4 linked regions of the Struthio camelus genome follow. The protein of the gene in region 1 purifies or fractionates together with the protein of each later gene. This does not show direct contact. Links are inferred from orthologs where the notes say so. Each region holds a gene or a part of one and is shown in the gene's direction. Other genes may lie near its edges. The genes, in order: PHB1, STAU1, CANX and ACTB.

Region 1 (7,064 bases):
CAAGGGGCGCAGGACCCCGATGCAGGACCCCAGCATGGGGTGCAGGACCCCAGCACGGGGCACAGGACCTTGGTGCAGGACCCCAGCATGGTGTGCAGGACCCCGGTGAGGGGCGCAGGACCCCGGTGTGGGGCACAGGCCCCTGGTGCAGGACCCCAGCACGGAGCGCAGGACCCCAGTGCAGGACCCCAGTGCAGGACCCCGGTGCGGGGCACAGGACCCCAGCGCGGGGCACGGGAGCCGCTCAGGGTGGCAGCAAGCCCACGGCTGGGGCTCAGCATCGCGGACCCCAGCACCTTCCAGCCTGGGGCCGTACCCCAAATCTGCCCCAGGGCTAATGGCTCTTGGCCCGGCGGGGGGGCTCCGTTATCCAGGGCGAGCCGGGTAAATTGGCCCAAATGAAAGACAGGCGCAATTTTAAAGCAGATTAATTAAACCGCATTAAGGCCCTGTGTGGACACAGCCGAGAACGCAAGCGGCCTTAATTCGATTTCTCTGACTTGCAAATTGTGGCCGCGAAGCCAGCCGAAATCACATTAAGGCCGTTTGCGCTCTGCACCGTGTCCTCGCAGGGCTTTAACGTAGTTTAACTAATTTGATTTCAGCGCTTGTTCGGATGAACCGGTTTACGCGGCCAGTTCGGGCTCGGTCCCCGAGCGGCCGGCGGAGGTGGGAGCCGTTTCCCGGCGCGGCCGGCGGCCGTGCGGCGACGGAGGAGCCAGCCCGGGTCCTGCGGGGGGGCCGCGAGGATGCTCTCGCTCTGCCGAGAGATGCAGATTTGCTGTGCAAACCACGCACGGTTTTTAGGTGGGGAAAACGGCATTTCTGTGAAAAGCACGTCGTCCGCTTGACGCCCGTTTCGGAACAGATGTATGCTGAAAGGCAGCCTGCGCCGGGAACGCGCTATTCCTGCAAAGCTGAACGAGGAAGGAAAGAAGCTTTTCCGGCCAAGCGAAAACGCATACGCGCTCTCTGCTCCGCGGGTTCCCGGCCCGCGCGGGTCGAGCCCGACCCTCACCAGCCTTTCGGCGGCGATGCTCACGCGGCAGCCGCGCGCAGCAGCTGGTTACGCCGCTCTCGCTGCCCGGCCGCAGGAAGCCACTCGGGAAAATAGCGGCCAAAGGGGTTCGTCGGACGGATGGGGCCAGAGCTGGACGTCGGCAGGACGCCGAGTCAAACAGCCGTTTTTGGGGAGCGCGGCGGCTGGGACGCGCCGGCAGCTCAATGCCCGTCTGCATAGCGGAGCGGCCGGGAAGCGCAGCGCCGGGGTCGCTCCGATTCTCCCCGGTTGGCAAATGCCATGCCATAAATTTTTCCCGGGTGCGCTCAGGGCAGCGCCAGCCCCGCGACGCCGGATTTGGGAGGGCTGGAGAAAAGGAGGCTTTTTGTTCGCGGCGCTGGCCGCCGCGGCCGGAGCGAGCGCCGGCTGCCCGGCCCCGGCCTCACCGCCCCAGGACAAAGAGCCGCTTCTTGCCGCCGAGGCCGGCGCTTGGGTCCGCCGAGGGTTTTTGTCTCGTGGAGGAATGTCGGCTCCGAAACGCGGCCGGCCCCGGCGCTCTGAAATCCCATTGTGAGCGCCCGGAGCGCGGCCGGCCGCTGCTTTTTCAAGGGGTCTTTTGGAGAGGCAGGAGGAGACGGGGGAAACAAGCTGTGATCGAGGCGAAGATGAAAACCTGCCCGGGATTCGTGTGGTCGCTCCCGGCCGGAAAGCGCCGGGGGGGGGATTCGTTTTCTCAGCACCGTCTGCTCCCGGAAAAGCAGCTTCGAGCTGGCCGAAGGGCCGTCGTGAAGGGTTTTTGTGGGGCTCGCGCGTCGCTTCTGCGCCCCGGTTTGGGAGCGACAAGGGGTGATGCCACCCTACTGCTCCGGCCCGCCGCGATTCCACGTCCCCGGGCAGGAATTGGCACTTAACGGTCCCCCGCCACCACCCACCACCCAAATTTCCTTTTTCTTCTGAGCCAGGATCAAGGGTCCTGGGGGAGCAGCCTCCCGCGGGGCGGCAAAGCACGCGGCTGAGCTCCGGGGACGGCGGCGAGGAAGGTGTCGTCCCCCACCGCTCCAGCTCCGTTCGCCCTGCTCCATCACTGGGCGCCCACCTCCGTCCTCGGGCGAAAACACACTAGTTTCGCTCCTCGTCTCGAGGCCGAGCCGGCGCAGCTCGAAACGCGCTTCCGCCTGAGCCTGCGGCTCCGGCCGGGGCTGTCGTGGGGTTGATTTTCCTCCGCTCAACCTGCCCCTGCCACCCCGGCGGGGCGACCCCCCCCCTCCCCGCCGGCTGCGTCCCCTGCCTGGAGCCGGGGACGGTGTCGGCGCCCGGGGACGAGCCGCGGCCCCCCCTGCCCGGCCACAAAGCGATGTGTCAGCGGGCCCCGCCAGCGTCAGGCCTGGCTGAATCACCCTCGGGATATTCCCTGCACAAAAGGCCCTTTTTTCTCCCACCGCCCCGGCCCGGGCAGCGCAGAAAGCACAAGGGCTCCCAAAACCCTCTCCCTGGCGGGTGTCACCGGCTCCCGCCCCAGCGGCGGTGGGAGGAGAGCGGCGGGCGCTGCGCGTCGGCGCGGGAGAGGGGCCGAGACAGTTTCCCGCGGCGCGGGACAGGGGCCGAAGCTGCACAAACGGCGGCAACGAACGGGCCCGCGCCGGCGGCCGCGCGGTGCGGAAGAGGGGCTGAGCCGGGAGGGCTGCAGACCTCCGGCCGCCGCGTCCGCGCAGCCCTGCCGTAGCGACCGTGCCCCGTGTGCGAATCTTACGCGGGAAGGGTGTAAATCCCTGGGTGTTTATAGCCGTGGCTTTATCACCAATTAGGATGTTGTTACGGGATTAGCTGCAAGCGGAGAGACGCCTCCTGGGGCAGCTTCGTCCTTCGGGGACGCGCCGGCGGAAGAGGCACCCGAGCCGGCCCCGGCCCCGGCGGACGTTGTTCCCGTGGCGCAGGCAGAGGCGGATGCTCCCGGGATTTATTCCTCGAGGGAGGCATGCAGCCAAGAGCGGGTTAGGAGCAGCCAAAATTCAGCCTTACGGCACCTAGGGAAGAGGGGTGCCGGGATCTGGCTCCCAAATCATTTTGGATGGGGTCCAAAATTGCCGGGTCCCCAGACACCTTCGCCTCTTCCTCTTCCTCCTGGCTTTCCGCTTCCCAGGGCTGTCGAGGCACAAAAGAGCCGTGCCGGCCGGGTTTGCGAGCTCGCTGCCGCGGCCGTGCCGGGCAAAGCCGGGCCCCGTCCGTCGGCGGAAAGCGGCCGTCGCAGCGCCGGGGCCATCCTCACGTCCCGTCCGCCCCCCGCCACCCCGGGGTGACCCGCCGCTCCCGCAGGGCGTCGGGGAGAAAGCGGGGTTTAAGCAGCGGTTTTCTCTCCCGGGTGCGGCCGTGCCCGCCGGCGCCCGCCGGGGGTAACGAAGTCCCCCGTGCTCAGCGGCGTCGCGTTAAAGGCGAAACCGGCCGGGGGTTTCCAGGCGGGGGAAGGCGGCTGTTTTGGGGTCTGCCTGGGAAGCGGGGGGGGGGTGGGGGGGGTCCCCTCTCTTTTTCCCCCCCCCTCAGCCCGGTTGGCGGAGCCGATGGCAGAGCGCTGCTTCCCTCTAGCGGCCCCCGGCTCCCGCCTCGGCCGCAAGGCGCCTCTGTCCCCCCGCTCCGGCACCCCCGCCCCGTCCGTGGGGAGCCCGGGCTGGACGCTGGCGGCTGCCCGGCCTCTCCCGCTCCAGCGGACTGAGCGTATGGCAGGGGTCTGCCCACAAAGGGCCGGGGTGGGGGGGGGGGCGCAGCCGAGCCGGGGGGCGGCAGCTGCCCTGGGGCTGCCTGAGCCGGTGGCGGGATGCCGGGATCCCCCTTCCCCCCCACCCCGGTTCCCCCATGCGCCAGCCCCGACGTGCGCCCCCTCTACCCCGGCCAGGACTACAGCTCCCAGAACGCCTTGCGCACGGCGGGAGCGCCGGGGCCAATGGAGAGCGGCTTTACACAGCCAGCGAGGCGGAGCGGGGCTCGCCGGGAGTTGTAGGCCTTCCCGCACGGCCTCCCGGGAGCGGGGGCGGCGAAAACTACACTTCCCAGAATGCCGAGGTCCGGAGCGGGCCAATGAGAAGCGGACGTCTTGGCGCGACGCGCAGGCGCGGCGGGTCAGGTGGCCGCGGCTTCATGTGGAGGTCAGGGGCGCTGCGGGAGGGAGAGCGGGCTGGGCCGGGCCGGGGCCGGGCCGGGCGCGGTGGGTCGCCGGGGCCGGGGCCGGGGCCGGGGCCGGGGCCGGGGCCGGGGCCGGGGCGCGGGCGCGGTGGGGCGTGCGAAGGGGCCGAGCGGCGGCCTGCGGGTGTGTGAGGGGGCCTCGGCCCAAGGGGCGCCTGTCCCGGGGGCGGAAGGCCTGGAGGGGGTGGGGGAAGCTCTGTGGGGAGGGATCCAGGGAGGGTGCAGGGGGGCTGGGGGGGAGGGATCCGGGAGGTAAGGGGGCTGGGGGTGCAGGGAGGCCCGGAGGGGGGGGGGTCGGGTCGGGGGTGCAGGTTGGATTTTTTTGGAGGGGGGAGTTAATCCTCGGCTCTGTAGGTGCAGACACAGAGTTGCCTGGGCTCCTCGCTTCATGCACTTTTAACAAGCTTGTGGGGTTTTTGCAGGAGGGACTCGCTAAAGGGGCTAGAACTGGACGTGAGAAATGGCCGCGAAGTTGTTTGAAAGCATCGGGAAGTTTGGCCTGGGGTTAGCTGTCGCAGGTGGAGTTGTCAACTCTGCTCTTTACAATGGTGAGTGGGAGAGGGAGAGTGTTTCCCGTTCATTTTATATCCTTTTTATCCATGTCTTTATTGCTCTGTGCCTTTATTATTAGTGGCATCAGGGGAAAATAGGCATGAGACTCTGCTGTGCTGGTTTATACTGACCTTCTGCATTGGGTAGGCAAGAGGATTGCGGAGTCCCTTCACTAGAAACTGTCAATGAGATGCTCTCCTTGAAAGCAGGCCGAGAGGTCGAGTCGTGGCTGAGTTGTCTCTTTTGCTTTGTTGCTACTAGCAATCTACTTAATTTCACCACTCTCCTGCAGCAAAAGGCCTTAATTAATCCTGACAGACTGTTGATATCTGTCATGGAGAATGTTCTGATGGTGTGCAAGTACAACAGTGAAACCATGCTGTTTCATTCTAGTTGATGCGGGCCACAGAGCTGTTATCTTTGACCGATTCCGTGGAGTCCAGGATACGGTGGTAGGAGAAGGTACCCACTTCCTCATCCCTTGGGTACAGAAACCGATCATTTTTGACTGTCGATCTCGCCCACGTAACATTCCCGTGATCACTGGCAGCAAAGGTAAGTGTTCTCGACCAGGCGACTGTAACAGAGTAGTGTCACTCTGAGTGTGTGCCCACTGTAGCGACCTGCGTGACATTGAGTTCTTTGCCTCAGAGGTGTTCTTTCCCTCTGCCTCAGGTGGCAGAGAGAAGATGCTCAGCAGCTTATCAGCCCTGAGGAGAGAGCAGTGCATCTGAATATCGTGCAAGACTGTGATCCAAGCGCTCTCGTTATATCCTGTGTCTTATTCTGATGTTGCTTTTGGATTTCTTTGTAGTTAGCAGTTGGGTGGATGGGGCACGAGAAGAAGTTTTACTATGGTCGTGACTTCTGTGATCTTTTAACCTTACAGAAAATCACTGAGTAAGGGTTCTGTCTTCTGGACATGGTGGTCCTATGTGTGCTGAGTCCAGTCTGGCACAGAGTCATTGATCTGTCTTTTTAGTTACAGAACAGATTAAGCAACTTCTTGTTGCAGGGTTTTAGTAGGTTGTCCGTTTAAATGCAAAATCTCTGCCTCTGCAGGAGGGCAAATAATTCCCTGCATCAGAAGCAAACTGAAACTTCAGTCTTATCTTTTTAAGAAGGATCTAGATCCCTAGGTGAAAGGGACAGTAAAAATAACTTGTCTCTGCCGGCAAAGAGAAGCCTGAGGGTGTGGTCTTTCCCATTTAGTTACCCTGGAAAGGCCAACTTCAGGACATCTCTTGTCCCCACAGTTTGCCACTAAACTTGTGCTTCTCTCTCTCCCTCCCCCCCCCCCCCCGCTCTGCCCCCAGATCTACAGAACGTGAACATCACGTTGCGTATCTTGTTTAGACCAGTGACCGCCCAGTTACCCCGAATTTTCACAAGTATTGGAGAAGACTATGATGAGCGTGTCCTGCCTTCAATCACAACTGAAATCCTGAAGTCTGTTGTGGTAAGGACAGCACGACAGCTGCTGGGCTCTGCCTGTCACCTTTCTGTCCTTGTTTTTTTTGCAGTGAGATACCTGCTAGCATGTGGAATATCTAATACTCCAGACTAAAGCTTCTCTTTCCACTCTCCAGGCTCCAAAGGGTTATCCAGAAAAGCTGATAATTGTAGTTATGCTGTTTGTTTCTTTGCCGTTCTGACGGCTTGCCTTGACTTAAGGCTCAAGTTGGGTGTAGTCTGGACAGCAAGAGGTTTCTCTGTTACCCGTTCTCAGCTGTTAGCTTCTCCCTTTGGGGGAAACCTCCCCTCCAGCTCACACTTAAATTTGCAATCATTCATTCTTTCTCCTAGTTCTAGTGAACAGGTAGCTTAGTGTTTGCTAGCTTTGGAAGATAAATTGGATTAACTCTGGGGCTTACAGGTGCAAAGACAAACAGAATATGAAAAATCTATTGTTTCTGGAAGCTTTGTTCTCATTTTTGTCCATCCTAATATCAGGCTCGCTTTGATGCTGGAGAATTGATCACTCAGAGAGAGCTGGTCTCAAGGCAAGTGAGTGAAGACCTCACGGAGAGAGCAGCGACCTTCGGCCTCATTCTAGATGATGTGTCCCTGGTAAGAGTTCTCCCTTTTCAGGTTTTCTCTCTCTTCTTGCAGATAAGAGTAGCGGAGAACAGAACCAGTGGATGGCCAAAGGGGGACAGAATTTTAGACGTAGGTGAAATGCTTATTTGTCTGGAGTTGCATGTAATTTAGTGGTTACAGCTCAAGTCAGTATGTCAGGTTTTGTCACTGGCCTTCTGTGACCTTGAGAAAGCCCTTGAAGGCTCAGCTGTACTGTCTTCTTGCTGACCTCACTATTGTAGGTTTCTGTAGTTAAAAT
Region 2 (7,361 bases), on another chromosome or scaffold:
AAGTGAAGTTCTAGTTCTTTGTTTCCTCATCCAAATACATGCTAAGATGAGACTTATCCCCTCAGTGAGTCAGATGCTTCATTTTGAAATCCTCTGATGAGGAACAGAGCATATTCCTTCTCTCTGCTGCTTCTCTCTTTCAACAAACTTGGTTTTCTTCAGGCTCTCAACAGCTTGCTTAAAGGTACCTTCCTACAGACTGTACTTCTCTGCTTCTTCCATACACTTTGCTGCTCGTTCCATAACCTTTAAATGAAAACAGTCTTCCTGAGAGCCGGGAAGGAAGGATAGGCCACCTTAAAGCTGTCAGAGCAGGTCTTTATACTGTCTTTCGCCAGGACAAGGTAACCGTTTGCATCGTGAGAGATTTCAGCTCAAAGTTTTTCACAGCAATCTATTTGTCTCCAATTCTTCACCTTCTGCTGAAGTTCACTTCTTGTTCTTACACAGAAAAGGTCTATCCACTTGGTGATCTTCCCTTCATCTGTCTAAAGAGCATGTAGTTTAAGCTGTCAAAAGTGCTGCTAAAATGCTGGGAAATGAATTTGAAAACGTTTTGATGAAACTTCTGAAGAACAGAGATGTTTCCTGCAGCACAGCATGCATATGCTGACGTGGGTTTGGCTACTAGAAATGGTGTAGTTGTAGCAGCATGATTTAGGCATCCTTTTACTTTGGGTGGAGTAAATTGTCTCACCTGACACTGCCTCTGCCAGACTGCTTCCTGTAGCTCATGTAAAGCTAGTTTGGAAACAGCTGTACGCTGTGCTATAAAATGGCTTGTCTGTTGCCTTGTCCCAAAACTCTGGATGTTTGGATGCCTTGATTATTGTCTTAAAACAACTCTTTATCTTTCCTTCATAGAAAGAATAGTATCTTGTTTTAAACCTGCTATCTCTTTTGCTGATTCTTTCAACAAAAAAAAAAACTGGGAGAGGAGTTATGCATGTTCTTTCAGCCCTCAGGAGAAGTATTGCAAAGATGTTTTCCCCTAACTGTGTTTCAGGTATTTGCCTTTGAAACTGAGAATGTTAACTGAAATGAAGATATGCTCTAGACATGACTTCTCTATGAAAATTTAAACATGTATATAAAGGCAGGATAAATGCTTTTTTCCCCCCCTTAGCTTTCTACCTTTAATAATCAAATGAAGTCATTATCACCATTAATCTAATTTAGAGGCAATTTGAGATGTATACTGGGGTATACTGGCTAAAATAGTGGGTGCCAGCCAGTACATAAAAGCCCTGTGACTTAGGTTGACGTCTGGTTGCAGAGTGACTAAACGTCTAAAATTTTTCTCTCAAAATAATAATTTTCTAATTCATGTGAGGTCAGCGCTTGTGCTAGACTCACTGTATTGTATTCAAGATGAGATCATATAATATAGGAGTAAATACTTTATTAAAGTAATAAATCTTAAAAAGAATAGAAAGTGACAGAGATATTTTGTTACACATGAGTAACATGTCAGGAAAGCAGAATGAAAGGGGTTTTAGCAAAGCTAGTTCATATATTTATCTTCCTGATTAAAAAAAAAAATCTGGTTTTGTGCCTGATATAAGGGATATTTTGAAGTATTTAAATATATGCATTACAAGTATCAGATTTCTACATGAACATCTGAAAATATTGTAATTACAGTATTGTTTCCTTAAAATTTTCATGCAAGAAAACAAAAGTATCAAATATTTTGCAAATTATTAGCTAGAAATAGGTCTCTGTCCTTCTCTGTCTCTTTGTCCCTCTCTAAAGCTTTGTTTAACTGCTGCATAAAGAAGAGTGGAAGTCTTTTGTAACATTTTTTAAAAGTAAAAATCATATGCATACTAGGGGAGTAAAAATCTCATCCTTCAAAAGAAAGAACAAATGTGTTGGGTATTTGAGATGTTCTGCCAAGTGTTCCTCAGACTTTTGAATTACATGTATATTTGCTTTAAACTACATTCAACTTTGTAATCTGGCTGCAGATACTTTTTGGTCCAATTATGCAGGTTCTGCTCCTACCCCAGTGCTTACAATTTTCTGGAAAAAAACCCCATAACATTGAATTTTTAATATAATTCAGTCTGAAAAAATCTAGCTTTGTATTTCCCTATCTCCACCTAAAAATCTACAAAATGCACAAATGCTGTTTCTTTTTTAGACATCATTAAGCCTTGCAGTAATGATTATACAACAGTTGAAGTTTCGTTTCCTTCTGAAATATAACTGTTGCTGGCTTGGCATAATTAAAGCATCTAACAGCACATATTATTATGCAACAGACCACAAGAACATATGAAGAGGTGTTTAAATGTGATATGGGTTATATATATATGCTTATATACTGGAGAATGTCTTTTAAATGCTATATTGTCAATTATTTTAAGTGTATGATGTATTTTCTTTATGGTGTCTTTGACATCCATACCAGTATTAAAGACATGGATGGATATGGAACTTTAGGTATAATGTTTTTTATTTCTAATTAGTTTTTGCTGAAATGTTTGTACTTGTGATCTTCCCCGCTAAATATGAAGGCCTTCGCATTTGCTGTAGAATTACGCTACATGGTTAATAGATGGGGTGGGCTGGATGCCACGTTTTATTCACTGAACAGAGGCAGAAATTACTGATTTGCAATTTAATGGTGCCACGGGGTTTAAATGCAGCCTTGTAACTTAAAATGTATTTTTACCTATGAAGAGAGATAAATTATTTCTAAAACAAAAAGCTCTCATAGTATCTTTTTCTAACAGCATGGATTGACTTATTCTAGCAGGACTGGGGACTGTTTGATACTGTATTGCATTTTTGCTAGCTTTTTTGGTAGTGCATACTTGTTATAACAAGAACAGGCCTACTGCTTTAAAATCATACGGGTTAGGAAAATGTTCTCTTTAAAATATTTAAGCCTAATGATAATGTTTGTTTAAATCTTGTAGGGCATTTTGATTGCTACAGTGACTCAGGAAGGGAAACCCGCGATGTCGGAGGTTAACTGGTCAGCTACATGGCTGTTACTGTAGTTTTCACTCTTTCACTAGCTAGGGATTGATTGTATCTGAAGGAACGTAACAGCATTTAATGGCTTAATTTATATGACAAATCTAAAATTACTAGAAAACACAGGCTTCAATAGCAGCATGTTGGAATTTTTGCGTTCCTAATGTGAAACAGATAGGTACCTATCTTCTTTTTGGCTTAAACTAACACATGTGAATTTACTCCAGGTAGTGATTTCAAGAGCGAGCAATCACAAAGTAACTGAGAGCCAAGGTTAAGTTAGTGGCAGTTAATTATCGGCAGTGTTGAGGGGGGGAAGAGGGGGACATAGCTGCAAAGAGATTAGTGAAGATCAGGGTAGATTAAAGCTGTGCATAAAAATTAAACAAATAGGTTTAGCTTGTTATGCGTTTTACATACGCTCTCCAGGTTCAAGCGTAGTGCTTGAACGGGAAAGTACCACAGTTAGCTGCTGGACTGAACGATGGCAGTTGGGTACAACCGAACACCCCGGGTGTGGGGTTCTTCCTGGGCAATAGCTGCTCAGAGCTTTTTGCCTGTACTTACAGCCTGCACTTGTGCATCTTCTTAGGTTCAGCACGGCTTTTCCTTCCCACCCACGCTTTGAAATGCGAGGGTTTTTTTTGTTTGTTTAAATAATCTTTCACAGTTGCGCGGGCTGGCATTCTCTATTAACCCCTTATGCGAAAATACCTTCACGCTAATAGTCAATGGGAAGGCAGCAGCGGTGTTGGTGCCTTCAGCCTCGATTTTTCTTTTGCCTGGCAGACCAGGCTTCCCCGAGGGGGCCAAGTACGCGCGGGGCTTTTCGTTCAGATTCCCATTGCCAGTGAAATACAATACTGCAAGCTGAAAAGGGATATTTTAAATACACTTCTTGCCTTTATTTTAAAATAGAAACGAAGCGCGAAGCACTAAAGGGCTGGGGGAAAGACCTGCCGGTGCCGGTGCATGGCCGCAGCGGGCACAACGTTGACCGCTCCCGCAAAGGGGCTCCCCGGTCCGCGCGGAGGGAGCCGAGCCCGCCAAGGAGGCGGCCGAGAGCGCCCGGAGGAGCCGCCCAGCCCCGCTCCTTCCCTCCGGCGCCTCCATCTTGGCCGGGCACGAAAGCCCGGCCAGCGCGGGGCACGCCGGGACGTGTAGTCTCCTCCGTCCCGAGGCCGGCCGCGATGCACGCCGGGGGTTGTAGTCCTCTCGAAGAAGGCGGTGCTCCGAGCCGGTCCGCGAGCTCATTGGCCGAGAGGGCGGCGGGAGGCGTCGCCCGCGGGGGCTCGGCTGTCTCCGATTGGCTACTGGGCCGCTCCTCCTCCCACTCCGTCCTCCCGGCGCGGTGCCGTCACTTCCTCCCCGGCCGGAGCTGGCCCCGCTCATTCTCTTTAGTGTTTGCCCTGTGCCCGCCGCCTCCCTCCGCCGCCGCCGCGACTCGCCCCCCCCGGCCCGCCGGGACCCGGCCCATGGACTGAGCCGCCCGCTGGCCCGCAGCACCAGCCGGCCCGGGAGCCGCAGCCCAGGCAGCCAGGTGAGGGCGAGGCGACGCCGCTGCCCCGGCGCCGAGGCGGCGGGGCCTAGCGGGGGCCGCGCCGGCGGCGCCCAGGGCAGGGGGCGGCCCCGCGGCGGGACGGGCCGCGCCGCGCCCGCGCCCCGCGCCCCCCGCCCGCCCGCCCGCCCGCGCGCGGCGCTGCCCTGCCCCGCTCCCGGCGGCGCGGCGGCCCCCGCCGCCCGTGGGGGCCGGCTCGGGGCAGCGCCCGCGCGGGGGGCGCCGAGCGGGCCGGGCCTGCCCGGCGGAGCGGGCGGCGGCGGCAGCGCGGCCCCCGGCGCCGCAGCCCTCCCTGCCCCGGCGGCCGCAGCGGCGCTCCGGGGGCGCGGGGGGCCCCGCCGACCCGCGCGGGAGAAGCGGCGGCGGGAGCGGGCTCCGCCGAGCGCCGCGGGACGGGGCTGGCGGCGGTGCGCGGCCGGCGGCACCCCCCGGCCGGCCGGCCCGTGACAGCGTTGGCGGCGCGCTGGCCGCCCCCGGGGCCGGGCGGGCGGTGGCCCGGCTCTGCCGGGCTCCCCGGCCCCCCTGGAGCGGTGCCTGCAGGCGTCCTCCTCCCCCCGAGCAGGTGACAGCAGTAACAGGCTCCTTCAGAGTCTCTGGGGCAAACGGTTGCGGCAGCAAAACTCCGTAGTCGGAGCTAGACCAGTCTGTCGTCCCTGGCAAAAGGGGGCAGCTGCGGCGCTCGAGGCGGGGGCGGCCGCGGAGTCCCACAGCCTCCCTCCTGCGCAGGTCATGCTGCAAACACCGAGGCTGCAGGCGTTAGCAGCATCGTCTCTGCCTGAGCACCGGCGCCCGCAGACTCTCTCCTTCCCCCCTGCGAGGTTTGGCAGCCGTGGCTGTCACAGGCTGGCTTGTTTTTCCCCCTCTGTCTTTTGCCCGTGGTGCTAAGTTTTTGGGGAGATGTGACAGCAACAGGTTTCTTTTGAATGTTTGTGCTGTATCTGTCTGTCCTGCGGGTTATACAGGGCTTGATTGATTGGAGCTGTCTACCTAGGTAATGCTGTAGCTAGTAATGTTGACAGCCGGTTTTCTGATTTGTCTGTGTGTTGGGATTTTTTTTATCTTTGTTTTTCTGTCTGGTTTAAGGCAAACCTAGGAGGAACATGGGAAAGGTGGCTAGGTTTAACTATAAAGGATCAGAGGAAAACTGGAAACTCTGCTCTTTACATCTCATACAGCAACATAGTGAAATATCTGAACAGAAGTGACCGCCTTTTGTCTACTTTTGGGATAGTATATTTATAAAATCTGCCTTCTAACTAGTTCACTATGTTATTGCCCGATCATACTGGCAGAGATGCATTTTTTTTAATACTAATGAACATCAAACCTTGGGTTTTAACGATGCAGCTCTGACCATGAAGTTGTAAAGTAATCTCCAATTATATATCGATCATCTTGTATAGGCAACAAATGTGTATGTGCAAACTATCGCAGAGATATTAACTATTGTACATCAACTGGATGTCTGCCCTATCTAAGTGAAAGTTTAAGAGTAGATGGGTTGAGTTCTTTGCCATATATTCCATTTCTACTTTTGGATCAGAATTTCATTATAAAATCTTTTTATGCGATGTATGCAAGGAAGAATTCCATTAAAGTTCCACTCCTTGTTTGTACGAAATCTTTCATGATGTTTATCACTACTTATTTTTGACTGTCTGTTTTCAGCACCAGTCAGTCAAAGTATTTTTTGTCAAAATTAAAATATTCATATATTGAAGTTAATTTGTGATATTGTCTTACTCTAACTATACAGGGCCAAAACAAAACTGAAAACTGTGCTCTGCCTCTCAGATCCCACTGAAAAACAGCAGCTTTATTCTGAGGATATACAAACTTTTCAAAACATTCTTTCGATTGCTTAGTCTGGACTCTTATCAGAGGCTTGTTTATTTTATTGGATTTTTTTGAAGACATGACAGGAACAGTAGAGAAGATATGTGCATCAATTATGTATGTTAACTGTAGTCAGATAATTTTAACAAGTCAGTATCTTTACTTTTAGACCTGTTCTAGTTCATAAAAATAAAAATATTAGTACTATCGCAAAGTATTTAATTAATTCAACTAGATGTAAGCCTCTAACCACTTGTCTTTATTCATGATTGTCTCACTGCTTTCTGATTTATTCTTTTGCATCATGTTTGGAACTGCCTGGTTTATATGCACATCTGCTAGTTCCCTTTTCTCCCTCACATTTTACCTGAAAACTTTAGCTTTTCATCACCTGTTCTCTTGTTAATGATCCATATCTTAGCTCCTTGACTGATTTGCTTAATATTTAATGTTTTCTGCCCTTGGAAATTCATCTTCCCTATACTCAATAAGCAACATGCAGATTATGAACTGCATGAATTTTGAGCCTCATCCTTTTATTCAGTGAATGCTGCCTTTGAGTTGTACCTTCACTAGTCAAAGCCTTGCCTGAATATCATAGAAAAAGATTTCTAAAAAGAAAGTGTTACTCAGCCAGCGTGTTTTATGTTTTGTATAAATAACCTTAAGCCTGCAAAATTGGTAGTGCCTTTTTATTTAAGTTATTCAATTATAAATAGTTAGATATTGTTTTTAAACACTGTTGCAGAAGTAAATGTTTCAGAGTTTTGTGTCATATATTATAAGGCTACCGTTAATGTGAGTATTTAGAGTGTATGTGAAATAGGGGTAAATGGAATTTCCTGCTTTATGAACAGAGTTAGTTGTTGATGAGGAAAAATTAGTCGTGTTTGCTGTGTAACTGAAGGGTCAGCAACTATTCAGATGCAATATATTGTGAAGTATCCAGTTTCAGAAAGAAATTAGTGCTAAGTTTAGT
Region 3 (6,910 bases), on another chromosome or scaffold:
CACAGTCCCTCTCTGGGTCATGGTTCCCAGTGGAGTGATCTTGCTGTCCTTTGCAATACAAAGCTTGAGAGTCACTGGTGCTCTTAGGCCACTAAGGCAATAGTCTGTGATTACCGCGGGCAGTTTGCAGCTCTACCTGGCTGAGGTAGAGTGCCATGTTTGCATCTAAAGGGTATGCTGCATTTCCCCAGTGAGGGAACAACAAAACACAGCTCTCAAGCCACCAAAAGACACCTGAAGTCGAACTCTTGCTGCATGTGTAGCAGCTATGGTCAGATAAAAATGCCGTTAAGTTAGGTGTCACACCCTCAGGGAGGACACAGTTCTGGGGACGTCTGAAGGACACTCTCAAGCAGATCTAGCTCTGGTCTATGAAAGAACTGGTGGAAAGGGGCACAGTTGGAACCAAACTGTGCCTAAAAACCTGGCGCAATGCCCACGCAAGCTGTAAAAGCTGTGATACAACCTAAGGAAACCATCAGGATTGCCATATCCTATGTCCAGACCGGACTTGCACCTCTTGTCTTTTCTTGGATACTTCTGAGCTTCTGGGTACCAGAAGTTTTTTGTAAAGTTCCTATTCCCAGGGGCATTTCCTAGCCTCTTCTGCACTTATGATATCAGATGGGTTGCTTATCTTCTTCCACTTCCTTACTGTATTTCCCTGTCTCCCTCCATCCATCTGCCAGTGCTCTGACTCTGGTTCGCTGCTGCTTCTCTTTGCTACTTACTCTCCTACCTTTATTACAATTAATTAAAAACATTTACTTACATTCACTTTTCTTACCTTTGAAAATGACAGGATTTTATTTTTTTGTTTTAGACATTTAGGCCCCCTCTGTTTTGATAACGTCAGTGAATCTTACCCTGCTCTTTTCTCGGAAGGGGTTCCCTCCAGATATCTCATTGTAAAGAAATGCGTTTTCCGTGGAAAGCGTACCAGAGCGCATGGACGTTGCCCTGTATAGGGACGTGGGCTTGTCTTCCCTCCTGCAGTTCAAAGTTTGAAAGAGCAAAAGTCAGCATTCTCCTGCTGGTCATCTGCATTTACTGCCTGCTCTCTGTCAGTGTAGTGTCACTAATGTCCTGCTACTTCTGGCTTGCTTTATTTTCCACTCGCTACTTGCCAGTTTTCCAAAGGAGACTGATATCTGAAAAGATCATCTACTAATGCTTGAAGCGCAAAGAGAACTCGAGCTGTGTGGCAACGCATTACAGAGACTTAAGAACAGAAAGTACCTGCTGAAAATGGGGGAGGCTTCTCTACCTGATGAACAGTCAGGGCAAGAAAAGTACCCCTATAGGGCAGCTGTTCAAAGCCATCATTCACTCGTAAACCGAGGACTGCCTTTCACCTCTGAGACCGACGTACCCGGAACGGGGAGTCTAAACGTCAGGCTTTTCTAGCTTAGCCGCACGGCCCGTTTTATGTCTTTCAGAATTTACTTCCAAAATGAGAGAACAGCACGCTCCCCATGAGTGTATCAGTGGATCTAAACAAATCTCTTGTGGTCAAGCCTGCACACACCTAAATGGTTTTCTTCAACAACGTCGTGTTTGCTGTGTGGTCTCTGCCATCCCTCTTTCCTTCATCGCCCCTGTCCCTGGCATTGCACAAACTGGGCTAAAAATACCATGTTCTCAGCTGCCAAAGCACTTAAACCTCTGTGCATGCTTCTTCTCTTCTCTTTCTCCCTCTTTTTTTTTCCCCCAGATTATCTATCTGTCTTGTGTTGACTGTGTATAAAATCACAGTGTAGGATGTACTTTTAGCAGCTTACGTGTTTTTTAACTTAGAGCTATTCTCTCCACGCCATGACAAAGCAGAACAGGCAGGAATGGGTTGCAGGGCCTCCTGCCTGCCCCATGATTCAGCAGGTTGTAAAAGGAAGCGGTGCCGTCTTTTTTGGGAGAGGGTGGCGGGAGAGAGAAAGGGGAGGCATGTGTGACGGGCGTGTGGGGGTATATCTGACTTCCTGGTGCTTGAGCTGATCAGAGCAACAGCCTAGCATGGTGTTATCCTGCAAGTCACAGTTAAGTAACTCACAGGCATGAATAACCTGTTTCAAAAGAGGGATATTTGAAGGATATTTGGTGGGAAGTTGGATTTTGCCTAGACTGGGGAGGGAGCTTGCTAAATTATACGTCTTTGTTACCCTTTAAAGTATTCCTCTGTGGTGTTTTTAGTTTGCTATTTTAAGGTGCTTGGTATCTCACATGCTGTTACGTTGTTTGTGGCTGCTTCTCTGCTTGTCTGCCTTGCATCTTCTGTGCAGGTTCTGGGTGTCAGTCAGTCTACAGGGAGGTTTAGGAGCCAGGTTAGTGGCTTTCCAGAAAAATGTGAGCGTTTAATTCCAAACTTCAGTGTAAACAGGGATTTGCTGAGTTCGTTTATGCTGAGCCTTATTTCTAAACGCTGGGTCCCTGCTTGCTTTGTCCTAACGTGGTGGAAATTTCTCTGTGGGGAGACTTATGTTGCTGACTCATTGTGTCAACTCAAAACAGATTTATGTTTACAAAAAAAATCCCTCTTCTTTCTTTCTCCTTCCCACCCCTCTTAGCAATATTGAATTTGGTATTCTTACAGAATACCTAGTATCTGCTGGAACAGGCTGTAGTCCGCAGGCCATACATGAGCTTGCTTTAAACCGGGGAGTTTAGATTACAGCTTTCCATTTAACTGTACTCATGTGAAACAGTTTAGATATACCTTAAAGTGGTATTACTGATAGGATAGCATGAGTCTGCTTTCCTCATCTTAGGTCCTTGTTCATCCCTATCTTACACCGCCATGGGTACGGGGAGCAGGAGGCAAGGGAACTCTTGAACGTTCCTCTTGTTCTCTCAGTTACTTGCAAACCGGTTACCCGCCTCATGCCTTCCCTTCCTATTCCAAACAATTGGGACAGAATTTCCTCATTTCCCTGGGCTTCTAGAGTCATTGAGACATACAGATGTTTAGCATTTACACGGCATTTCACTTATACAGAAACAGATTGTCAATTTAGGCAACACAGCATTGCTTAAAACTTCTGGTATTACGCAAGGCCTTCACAGAGGAGGCTGCCTGAAAGGTACTTCATGTTTTAAATAGGTTGGAGTATATGTTACATTTAGTGGTTTTCTTAAAACCGCAGCTTGCAATTGAGCAAAAAAAAATAGACACTTTTTAAAACAGAAAACCCTAGTCAGTATAGTACAAAGAATAAACTTTAAAAGCCCTGCCAAGAGGTTAAAGAAATAGAAGACAAAGATGAAACCGGTGTTTAATTTGATGGAGCCCGAGCACCGGGACAGGCAGCGGCCCAGGGCCTCCCCGCAGGGACGCAGCACGGGGCTCTGCGGTGAGGCGCCCCGGCAGGCCCGGCTGTACCAGCAGACACAGCGCTCCTCCGCGGCGAGGGTTGAGCCAAACCCCGCGGGCGAGGGGAGCGTTTTGGGCCGGGGAGGCGGCAAGGCGAGAACCCTGCTCAGCCCCCTGCCCTGCTGCCCCGGGCCAGGCAGTCCCTGCGGCACGGGGCCGTGGCCAGGACCCACGGCGGAGGAGGTGCGAGGGAGCGGGCTACGACTGGCAGAGCCGGGCCTGGGCGACGGCGGACGCTCTCGGACGCCTTTCTCCCACCTCCCCCGCCATTGCCCTTTTAAGCCCCGCAGCGCCCAGGGACAAGGAATCCGTTGGGTCTCCACCCACATATCAACGGCCTCCCTACAGCTAGCCAATCGCTGCGCACTTCCTGCAACCCGGCCGACCAATAAAAGCGCTCCACGAGGGGAAGCGCCGTTGGGGCGTGTTTTGAGGCGGGCGGACCGCTGAGCGGCGGCGCCCTCAGCCAATCGGAGAGCTGGACGGGCGGTGGGGCGGGCGGGCGGGCGCGCTGCCGGGCAATGGGGGAGCCGGGGCGGGGCGCGGCGGGGGCGGGGCTGGCGCGCGGTAGATAGGCGGGCGGCGGCGGCGGCGCTGAGCCCGCAGGCACGTGACGGAGGTGAAGGCAGAGGAGGGGACGGGAGGTCCGCGGGAGAGGCCGGGGGCGCGCGGGGCTGCGGCGGTTGGCGCTGTCGGGGGGCGCGCGTGGCGCGGTGAGGTGAGTGCGAGCTCGCGCCTCGCGGGCTGCCCTCCCCTTCCCCCCCCCCCTCGCCCTTCCCGCTAGAGACGGGGCAGCTCCGTGACTGGGGGGGGGGGGGGAAGGGGAGAGCGGGCCCGCTCGCGGGGCATGCCGGGGTATTGGCGGGGTGTGGGGAAGCCGGGCCGCCCTGAGGGAGGTGGCGGGGCAGGCAGAGCCCGCCTTGGTGGGGGGAGGGGGATGCTGGGCCTAGGATGTAGTAGGCGGCGGGGGGGCCTGCGGTGGGGCCGGGGGGGGCAGCCGGGGACCCCGAGAGCCGAAGCGGGGGCGCTGGGGGAGCCCGTGCGGCTCGGGGTGGGCTCTGGGTGGCTGCAGGCCGCGGGCAGGCCTGGCTGGGAGCAGCGGGTCTTCTGGTAGCTTCTGGGCTGGGAGGCGGGTAGGGGCTGGGCAGGGCCTGTGGCACGGCCGCAGCCGGGCAGCGGTGATGTGACTCTTCGCTGCTCCCCTACCGGGGGGGGGGGGGACGACGACGTACAGAGGCATGGTTTGGAAGAGGGAGTAAGGAGGGGGGGGTGGAGATGGATGGGCTGGCATGTGGTTTGGGTTTTATCTAGCTTGTGGCGTTAATGTCGGCAATGACAAGAGGGAAATAGTCTTCAACTACCTGGAAATGCCAAAACGCTGAGGTTAAATAGGTGGCTCTGCAGCGCTGGGGGTGGGGGTCGGTATAGACCATAGTGTGTGGCATGATTCGTGCTGGGGGAGAGGAAGTAGAAGCCTCTGGAAAGGGGGAGATGAAGGTGAAGAACTAGAGGCCCAAAAAGTGGCAAAGGCATGGTAGGTGCAAAGGCGTGAGTGAGGCCAAAGGTGAACTACAGAAGAGAAGACTTTTTAACAGCAAAGACTGAAGATTTTGAGGGTTTGAAATGCATACTTTGGCTTAGCTGCTGAATATTGTTTCTGTGTTGGGTGTGTAGCGTGCATGACTGAGGTCTTAGTTCTTGTTTATCACTCAGATTGTGTACTTTCAAAAAAAAAAACCCCTCACCTTTGAATTAAAGTGAGTGTCGTCTACTGCTTTCTTGTCTGTCCTGCTTCTAAAGAATGAACTTTCATATTTGGCTTTGTGTTTGAGAACTTTCTAGGCTATAGAACGAGAGAGGCTGCAGGTGACTTGATTGTGGAGGGAACCAGCTATGTAAATAGGGGAAGTATAACAGAGTATAAGACAATACGGTAAATAAGATATGTTACTCAATCTAGACACTGCAACTGAAATGACTTCAGAGACTCCTTTCCAAAGCCTACTGTTGGTTTGGTCATGCTACATAAGTTTATCCAAAATAGTAAACAAAACTAGAAGCAACTGGAAGAACCTTTGAGTTAAATGTAGTGTTTGCCCTAAGTTTCAATATTTCTAGTTCAAAAAAAATCCAGAAAGATGAGGAGTTATGAAGGGAATGCTAATATGCTACACATCCTACATTACGAGCCGAGTACAAGATGTACATTGTTTCTTGGCATCTAATGCCTTCCTAAGAAGGGAAACCTAATGCAGAGTACTAAGAAAGCTTACCACTTCCGTTAAAGTACCCTTTTATTTGATGTGTCCCAGCACTTCCTCTAAATAAATGAATAAATCCTTTACTAAGACTACATTAAAACTTGTATTTAGTCCTTCCTTTTGCTTCATTACTAGGGGCAGAAAAATTAAAGGTGAGAAAAGGATCATGACCATACCCTGTTCTCTCTGGAATTCATTCTGTTGCAGAGCAAACGTGAATTCATTCCTAGGCATGACAGTCTGAAAAGTCTTGAGGCATCTCCAGATCTCCCCCCACCTACCATAATTCCCCTAACAGCCCATCTGTTTTATGGTCCAAAAACCTTGCAGTTCTGTCTCTGTCCTCCAAGGACTTCCAGTTCTGCATGAATGATCTGCTTGCTGACAAAGGGTACGTGGTATTTTCTCCTTTACTATGTCTGCGCTGATGTATGTTATTTTTAGAAACTGACATGTTTGAAGTGCTTATTAAAATAAGCATTGTTGCTGTCACCTTTCATAGCTAATCTCTTACCTGGTTTATGCTCCTTACAATCCAAACAGAAGGCAGTTATTTCTGTGGAGCTATCCTTCTCTGTAGCAGAAGGTTTAGGTAATCCTCTCTAGGAGGAGACTATCATAAAGTCTTATGTAGCAGTGTATCTTAACCACCCCCTCCTGAAAAAGGACCCCTCACACAGCGCTCCAGCCTCTGGCTTGTTATAAGCAAGGCAGTTTTAGTTTAGCCTTGTTTGTTCACTGAGTTGCCATGTTAAAGGCAAAACCTTCCCAACTCTGAAAATGTCTGACTGCAGAGCTAAGCGTTTAAGGGAAAATATTTGTCTTGTCTGCATCATATGAGTTGCTGCATATATGAACATAATTTTTATTATGTCCCCGCTAGAGGAGCGGACAGGTAACTTACTGGTTTCTGGAGTGGTGGAACTTGGCCACAAAATTGGTTGTTTGGCTTGGCTGGAAATCTCCCAAGTCTGCCTGAAGACAGCTGTGTCTTTGAGAAGTGAAGAAGATAGAAATGCATGTGAACTACAACAGTAAGCTGACAGTGCTCCCAAGAGCTTAGTTTCCTTTATCCATGGCTGCTTACTATCTTAGTGCCATCGCTTGTCCTGCTACAACTCTTTGTACCTTTGTATGCTGGTTTGGACTAGGAGATTGATTGAGAGTTTAAAGTCACACAGCAGGAAAAACTTGTAACTGTCCTAAAACAGGTATTAGTCCACTATGTGGCTGTGTAAACAGTTACCCTGGCACAGCTGAGTGGCCAGGTTGTGCACAGTGAAGG
Region 4 (7,175 bases), on another chromosome or scaffold:
GCCCCAGTTACAGGCACAGGGAGAAGCAGGCAGAAAAGAGAGTTCACATTTTGTCCCATGAAAGCAGACAAAGTAAAATTGAAGGAGTGGGAGGTACAGGGCAGGAAGCAGAAATAAAGGCAGGACCGCACACTATCGGTGCCCAGAGCCAGGCCTGACCGTATCAGCCAGCGAAGGGCAGGAGGAATCCTCCTCCAGATGGTTTTGTCCGGAGCCAGCGTGAGCTGAGCTCTGCAGCACAGACCCAAGGACAGGCAAGGAGAAGTGAAGCAAAACAGGGAAATTCTGGAGTCTGCTTTTGGTTTCAGGTTGGCTGGCGCTAGGAGGTACTCCATGGCCGTTGCTGTCCTCATGGACCTTTAGAGCAGCCTTGGCAGACCTCGGCACTGAAAAACCGCTTGGGGGGTTTCCTGTGCTTTCTTTTGCTCTCTCCTCTCTGGGTTACGGCAGGTCTTGGCTGTGCAGAGGCTGTCTGCACCGTGACCCGTGTGCCCTGTGTGCTGAAGGGTAACACACTTCTACTGAGGTTTTTGGCAATAGGAAACTGAGACCGCCTTGTGTTTTCACGGCACGTAGTTTTGACTATTGCCTTAGCTCAGATCTCAAACCCTGAAGGTTGCTTATTGGAAGTCTTGTCTCCATCTTCCTTCTCTCTCTGCTAAGACGTAGAGGCATAACTTCTTTTCCATTACTTTTTAGTGGGTGCGTGAAAAGCTGGGCTCTACATGAGCTTTTCTCCCAGTCTGATGCGTTTGAGAGGGACTCGGAGACAAGCCAGGCCCGAGATGGCAGAGGACGATCACTGTGGACCTTCGCTGCTCGCTGTTCCTCTTTCTCTCCTTTCGGTTCTCGTGACACACCCAGGTACAGATTAGAAGAGAGCCCTGAATGCAAGACCAGAGGATCCTGGCTCAGTCTATCGCATTATGGTCTGTTTAGACCTTGAACACAGCAATTGGTGGGTGGCCTTGCTATCAAATTGCCTTTACGCTCATCACACAAATCTTGGCCCGTCCCAACCTCAGAGGAAGTGGCAGTGCCTGGATCACTGGCTGTTTGCTGCGGTTCACATCCTGCGATCCCCATTGGGCCGAAAGTCCCACTGCCTCCAAAAGACATGAGACCTGGGGCCTGTGTTATTGTGCTCCGGATGTCGGCAGATTGATTGCTTTCTGATTCATTCTCATAATTAGGAGATTCTAATTGCCTGGTAATCTCCCGCCCTGCTTAATGGGCTATCTCCTATCTGTGGTTCCCCAGCTCTGGTAGGCCTTACCTGTTCACCAGGATGCTGCAGAGAAGGGCTTCAGCGGATGCACGCCTGGTCCAGCTAACACAGACGCTCCCAAGCGCCCTGTCCTCCCGCTCACCCCGAGGGCTGCCCACTTCCTGGCCCTCACAGCACCTCATTCATACTTTTGGCCCTCAGCCCCTGCTCCCATTAGCCTTTGTGTGCAGGACGGAGCAAAGCGATTGCTGGCTGTGACAGCCACCTCCCCATGCTGACCTCCCGCTGACATTTCCCTCCCCGTACCCATCACCCCGATGCGTTTGTAGGAGTTTTTGCTAGTGGTTGTTTTCTGCAGGCCCCTCATCAGCGCATTCAGGGACCCCGTTTTATCCCTGCTGCCCCCAGAGCCACCAGCTATACCCATACCTTGTGGCTCCCCTTATCTGACGTATAATCTTCTAATTAATAATCAGCCTTTTCAAAGTGGAGTGCAAACATTAATTAATTCCCCGTGAGGTAGGTAATTAACAGTGATTATTCCCATTGTCCTGCAAGGGAAGCTGAGATACAGAGATCTGGCACCATTCAGCCAAGGTCGCAGAGAAAATGATCTGCAGCAAGAGCATGTTAGCCCCTGTGCCCCTCCTGCCTGCGCGGCCCTAACAAAAACCTCTCACTTTGCTGGACTTGATCTTTCTTGGCTGAACACTTCCCACGAGGCCTGAGGGGATGGGACATGGCTCTGGGGCAGCCCATGGCGATGGCCACCTCCAGCATTGAGGGGACGGGCACGGCCCTAGGGTGGCCCATGGTGATGGCCACCTCCAGCATTGAGGGGACGGGCACGGCCCTAGGGTGGCCCATGGTGATGGCCACCTCCAGCATTGAGGGGACGGGCACGGCCCTAGGGTGGCCCATGGTGATGGCCACCTCCAGCATTGAGGGGACGGGCACGGCCCTAGGGTGGCCCATGGTGATGGCCACCTCCAGCATTGAGGGGACGGGCACGGCCCTAGGGTGGCTCATGGTGATGGCCACCTCCAGCATTGAGGGGACGGGCACGGCCCTAGGGTGGCCCATGGTGATGGCCACCTCCAGCATTGAGGGGACAGGGCATAGTCCTAGTGTGGCCCATGGTGATGGCCATCTCCGGCGTTGAGGGGACAGGGCATGGTCCTGGGGCAGCCCATGACAATGGCCAGCTCCAGCAGTGAGGGCACGGGTCCCAGGGGCGTCACCAGGTTCCCGACTCTCTCCTCCCGGCTCTGTCCCCTCCGAAACACCGATCCCAGATCGGCGCTGGCGCAGCCGGGGCAGCTCTGCGGGGAGGAGGCAGCCAACACGGAGCCATGCCCAGGCCGCGGATGGCTCCCTGGGGCTGGGGCTGCCGGTCCCAGTCCGTACCCCGTGTCTGCTCTCCACTCGTCTCTCCTCCCTCACATGAGGTAATTGCAAAACTCCATCTCAGAGGCTTTTGCACGGTTCCTCCTGCTGCTCTCTCCTTTGTTTGTCCCGGGGAGCACCGGTGCGGCTATCCACGCTCACCGGGAGACAGAGCGCTGCGCTTCCCCCTCCCTCCGGACAGGGACCCCGCCGCCGGGACGGATGCTGGCGGTTTGGGGAGGGCAGCCTGGTCCTCCAGGCCCTAACCCGCACCCGTCCTCGCCGGTGGAGCCCCCACGGCGGCTCCCCGGTGACAAAGAGCAGGCGGGAGCCGGCTGGAGAGCAGCAGCCTCCCTCGTGCGCCACCTCCCTGCTCACGCTGCCTCACCTGGGGCCTCTCCGCTCAGGACCCTCTCTGAGATGCCAAACCAGAGGTGTCCCATGAACAACATGCATTTTTAGCTTCCCCTCCCCCGCCCCGGGGACTTTTTCTGTTGTTACTGCTTTCAGCTAGACTGGATATTTAAAGCACCTATGCTAAAGCCGGTGTGCTTCACACTGGCAACAGATTGCAAGTTGATGCTGCTACTTTACTTACAGGGCTGCTTAATTAACTTGATTAATCAGCCCATGTTTGTACAGTGTTCTGGGGATGCAAAGCCCTCTGTCGCTGCTGGCCGCTGTTTTGCTGATGGTGCCCTCGCCTTGATTTTGAACTGGTATCTTATCGTAGTAACGAGACACAGGATTGCAGAAACGCAGCCCGGAGAGGGACAGCCACGTATCGCGCCGCACACCCTTCCAGCAAGCCTTGCCCCACCTGGATCAAAGGGGGGGGGGGAACCAAATATTGCCCAAATCCAGCCAAATCGCTGCTCAGGCAGTGACCCCCGTGCAGAGGGGCAGGCATCCCTCGCCGGCCAGCCGAGCCGCTCGGCTTGACTCAACGCCTTAGTCAGAGCCGGGGGAGCGTTTCCTTCTTCCAGGTGACATGTCCGCAGCGCCTTCTCCCTTCATAAAAACATAGTCGTGTTTTAACGGTTTTCTGAAGGGGAAGGCAGCGTTCGCCCGGCAGGTTCACGGGACGGACCGGCCGCAGCGGGTCGCGAGAGCTCTTCCCCGCCGCCTGCTGACACCAGCAGCGCACTTGGCCCGAGATCTAACTTTCCACCGGAATCCGGTCCGGATCGCCGTGACCCTTCGCCCGGCGCCCGGGCAGCGCGCTGGGCAGACAGACAACGGGCCCCGCCGCCCCGCAGAGACACCCAGCGTGGGGGGGCCGGGGCCGAGGCGGCCCCTCGCTGCGGCCTTTCCCGGCCGGCTCCGCTTCTTTGTGTTGCCGGGGGGGGACAACGCGGACGCCCCCCGCCCGCCCTCCCTCCGCTGGGCCCACGCGGGGCGAGCCCCCCCCCAGCCCCACACCCCTCCGCGATGTGTGGTGAGGGAAAGGAGGGAGAGCGCGGGGGGGGGGGGGGGAGCGGGGGGCGCTGCCTCGCGCGAGGCGCGGCGGCGCGAGGCGGGGAGGCGCGGCGGGGGCCAATCAGGAGGGCGCGCTCCGAAAGTTTCCTTTTATGGCGAGGCGGCGGTGGCGCCGGCCCTATAAAACCCGGGGCGCGCGGCGGGCGGGAGTCGCTGCGAGCTGCCTCCGCCTCGCGTGTGTGTGCGCGCGTGCCCTGCTCCCGCCTCGCGCCGCCCGCCCGCCCCGGCTCTGACCGTGCAACTCCCCAAAGGTGAGCGGGGCCCGCGTGGGGGGGGGTGAGGGGGGCGGGGGCCCTCCCCGCTGCGTTTCCACAGCCCTCTTTCCTTCCCTCCTAGCGCGCTCGTGTTGTGTGTGGTGTTTCCCCCCCCCCCCCCTTCAATCCTTTTCCTCTTTCATTTTCTCTAATTCAGCCTCAATTCCAGCGGCGAGCTGAAGTGGCGAGGGGGCTGCCCTCCCGTGAGGGGGGAGTGGGTGGAGGATGAGGGCGGCGCGGTGCTCCGCTGCCGGTCCTCGCGCTGGCCGGGCCGCCTGGCGGCGTGGCCGTTCGCGGGGCGCCCTTTGTTGTGAGGCGGCGGTGGGGAACCGCCCGGTTTGGGCGGGGGAAGGGGGGCGCCGCAGCTGTTCTCCCCCTCACCCCGGGGAGCCTGCCCGGTTGTGGAGAGGGCTGCTGTGGGGCTGATCTGCCTTCTAAGAGGATTTCTCGGGGGCGGTGGCTGCGCCGGGGGAGGGGGGGGAGAGTGTCTCGCCTGGCTATTGTGTCTCGCCCAGCGGGGGGATGGGGCGGAGGGGCTTTGTCTGCGCTGTGCTCCCCCTCGCCCCCCCTCCGCGCAGCCCTCTGAGGCCATGGGGGGGAGCCGGTGCCGAGGGGGTGCGGTCCTCTTCCCCCCAAAATCCAGGCGCTGGGACGCACGGGGGGAGCTTCGGCGCTACCGGGCGAGGGCTCCGGCCGCCCTCTCCCTCGGGGGCGAGGTTGTTGCCCTGACCCACACGGGGGACGGGGAAGAGCCCCCCGCCCCGGGGGAGCTGCGGTGCCCTAGCTGGGGTCGGGGACTACACTTCCCGGCGTGCCCGGCCCGCTGGGCCGGCAGGGAGGTTGGCAGCGGCCCCTCCTCCCCGCGGATTAAAAAAAGGCGCTTTGAGAAGCGCCTGAGCTGAACTCGCCCTTCCCGGGGCGGGGGTGGGAGGGGGCCAGTTGTGTAACGCCGCGGCTCTTAATGCCCGGTGCGCTCTGCGCCGCTGAACCGGGGGCACCCGCCCGGCCAGCGGCTTTTGGGCCAGGTGGCTGAAACGAAGGTCGCCTCGCTTCCCCGCCCCCCCCCCCCCTTCGAGCCCGCGGGGCGGCGGCTCGGGGAGCGGCGGAGCGCGGCGGGTGCGTTGGCTGCGTCGCGGCTGCCGGCGCAACTCGCTCCGCCGGCCGTGGGGCGGTGGGGGTGGGGAGGGGGTGCGGCGGCGCTGCCGTGTGCGCGCTCGGGAGCGGCGTGCCCGCGGAGGGCGGGGCCGGGGCGGGGAGGGGGCGGGGCCTCGAGCCGGCTGCCTGCCTGCCTCCCCTCCCAGCGCTGGCGCGGTGCCGCGCGCCCGGCTCGGCGCGAGGCGCGCTCGATCCATTGCCTTTTATGGTAATACTGCGCGAGGGCGCGGGGACTTCCTTTGTCCCAAATCTGTGCGGTGTCGGAGCCTGGAACGCGCCGCCCCCTCTAGCGGGCGCTGGGTGAAGCGGTGCCGCGCAAACAGGAAGGAAATGGGTGGGGAAGGGCCTTGGTTGGTGGTGTGGTCTGGGGCGGCCACCTGGACACCAGTGGCTCTGCGCTGCGTGGGGTTTTCTCTCTCCTCCTGCGGCTTTGGAGGAGGAGTCCCCCTGCTGAGACCTTAGAGGCTGCTGGTGCATGAGTGGCGGTGCTCACTGACCTGCTCTCTATCCTTTCACAGCCAGCCATGGATGATGATATTGCTGCGCTCGTTGTTGACAATGGCTCCGGAATGTGCAAGGCCGGTTTTGCTGGGGATGATGCCCCACGTGCTGTCTTCCCATCCATCGTTGGTCGCCCCAGACATCAGGTATGGGGCTGGGCTGCTACTTTGTTGTACAGAGTAAAGGAGCTCTCTGTAGAAACAGTTCCCTTAAAGGCAGTAACCTTAAAGAAGCCCTTCTATTTGTGTGTAGTGCACTGGCTTCTGTGGAGCATCAGTAATGGGTGGGGGGGGGGAGGAGGAGAAATATGGCATCCTGCAGAGCTCTCCTGTGGTGTTCAGCAGTGTGTTGGGAATTGACTGAAGGTGTTTCCTGATGGAGTGGGGACAGGAGAAGAAAAATAATGAGAGGTCAAGCCCTTTTAAAGAAAAAGGGGGTTATCCACCCAGTCAGGCTGGCCCTTGAGTTTAATTGCTTTGTTTGTTGTGCAGGGTGTGATGGTTGGTATGGGCCAGAAAGACAGCTACGTTGGTGATGAAGCTCAGAGTAAAAGAGGTATCTTGACCCTGAAGTACCCTATTGAACATGGTATTGTCACCAACTGGGATGACATGGAGAAGATCTGGCACCACACTTTCTACAATGAGCTGAGAGTAGCCCCTGAGGAGCACCCTGTGCTGCTCACAGAGGCTCCCCTGAACCCCAAAGCCAACAGAGAGAAGATGACACAGGTATGTAAAACCGAGCTTGGTGCTAGAGCAGATGTTGTTGCAGCCAGCTTTCCTCTTCCCTGTTGTCCTCTCTGCACCTTCACCACTGTTCTCTCCTTTTTGCCATCTTTACAGGGTTTTCCTTTCCTGACCTGAGTCTCCTCTTTGCTGGACCTTGACAGGTTTTGTTTGCTCTTCTAAGCTGGCTTTCTCTGAGACTGAACTAGCAACTTGTCTGACTGCTGTTTCTGACTAGACACTAATCCATTTACCAACCTGGAGTGACTACTGTAGTTACTTAGCATTTGTTTGTTCCTTGCTGTGATGCTTGAATGGGCACATGGTGGTGGTCTTCTCAGGCTCTGACCTGGCAGGCCTGGGTGGATGCTAGGCAAGATATAAGCACTGACACCACCTTCCAGAGGGGATGAAGTGTCTTGTCTAGGGACATGGACTTCTGAG

The links.
Region 2: the proteins of PHB1 (region 1) and STAU1 purify together in Homo sapiens (affinity purification with mass spectrometry; 3 studies listed by BioGRID). This does not show direct contact. The link is inferred for Struthio camelus from reciprocal best matches to the Homo sapiens genes PHB1 and STAU1.
Region 3: the proteins of PHB1 (region 1) and CANX purify together in Homo sapiens (affinity purification with mass spectrometry; 3 studies listed by BioGRID and IntAct, with this or other methods). This does not show direct contact. The link is inferred for Struthio camelus from reciprocal best matches to the Homo sapiens genes PHB1 and CANX.
Region 4: the proteins of PHB1 (region 1) and ACTB purify together in Homo sapiens (affinity purification with mass spectrometry; 4 studies listed by BioGRID and IntAct, with this or other methods). This does not show direct contact. The link is inferred for Struthio camelus from reciprocal best matches to the Homo sapiens genes PHB1 and ACTB.

Annotation. Positions count from the first base shown.
Region 1 is NC_090966.1:5,145,084-5,152,147, forward strand, and holds the start of PHB1 (prohibitin 1), read left to right. Parts: upstream 1-4,050; 5' UTR 4,051-4,137; exon of another isoform or gene 4,138-4,196; intron 4,197-4,596; 5' UTR 4,597-4,634; coding exon 4,635-4,722; intron 4,723-5,119; coding exon 5,120-5,281; intron 5,282-6,042; coding exon 6,043-6,185; intron 6,186-6,679; coding exon 6,680-6,796; intron 6,797-7,064.
Region 2 is NC_090959.1:9,433,810-9,441,170, forward strand, and holds the start of STAU1 (double-stranded RNA-binding protein Staufen homolog 1), read left to right. Parts: upstream 1-4,347; 5' UTR 4,348-4,528; intron 4,529-7,361. UniProt on the Homo sapiens protein: Binds double-stranded RNA (regardless of the sequence) and tubulin.
Region 3 is NC_090954.1:6,908,303-6,915,212, forward strand, and holds the start of CANX (calnexin), read left to right. Parts: upstream 1-3,901; 5' UTR 3,902-3,983; exon of another isoform or gene 3,984-4,082; intron 4,083-5,760; exon of another isoform or gene 5,761-6,016; intron 6,017-6,508; exon of another isoform or gene 6,509-6,659; intron 6,660-6,910. UniProt on the Homo sapiens protein: Calcium-binding protein that interacts with newly synthesized monoglucosylated glycoproteins in the endoplasmic reticulum. It may act in assisting protein assembly and/or in the retention within the ER of unassembled protein subunits.
Region 4 is NC_090956.1:4,852,713-4,859,887, forward strand, and holds the start of ACTB (actin, cytoplasmic 1), read left to right. Parts: upstream 1-4,164; 5' UTR 4,165-4,344; intron 4,345-6,020; 5' UTR 6,021-6,026; coding exon 6,027-6,149; intron 6,150-6,494; coding exon 6,495-6,734; intron 6,735-7,175. UniProt on the Homo sapiens protein: Actin is a highly conserved protein that polymerizes to produce filaments that form cross-linked networks in the cytoplasm of cells.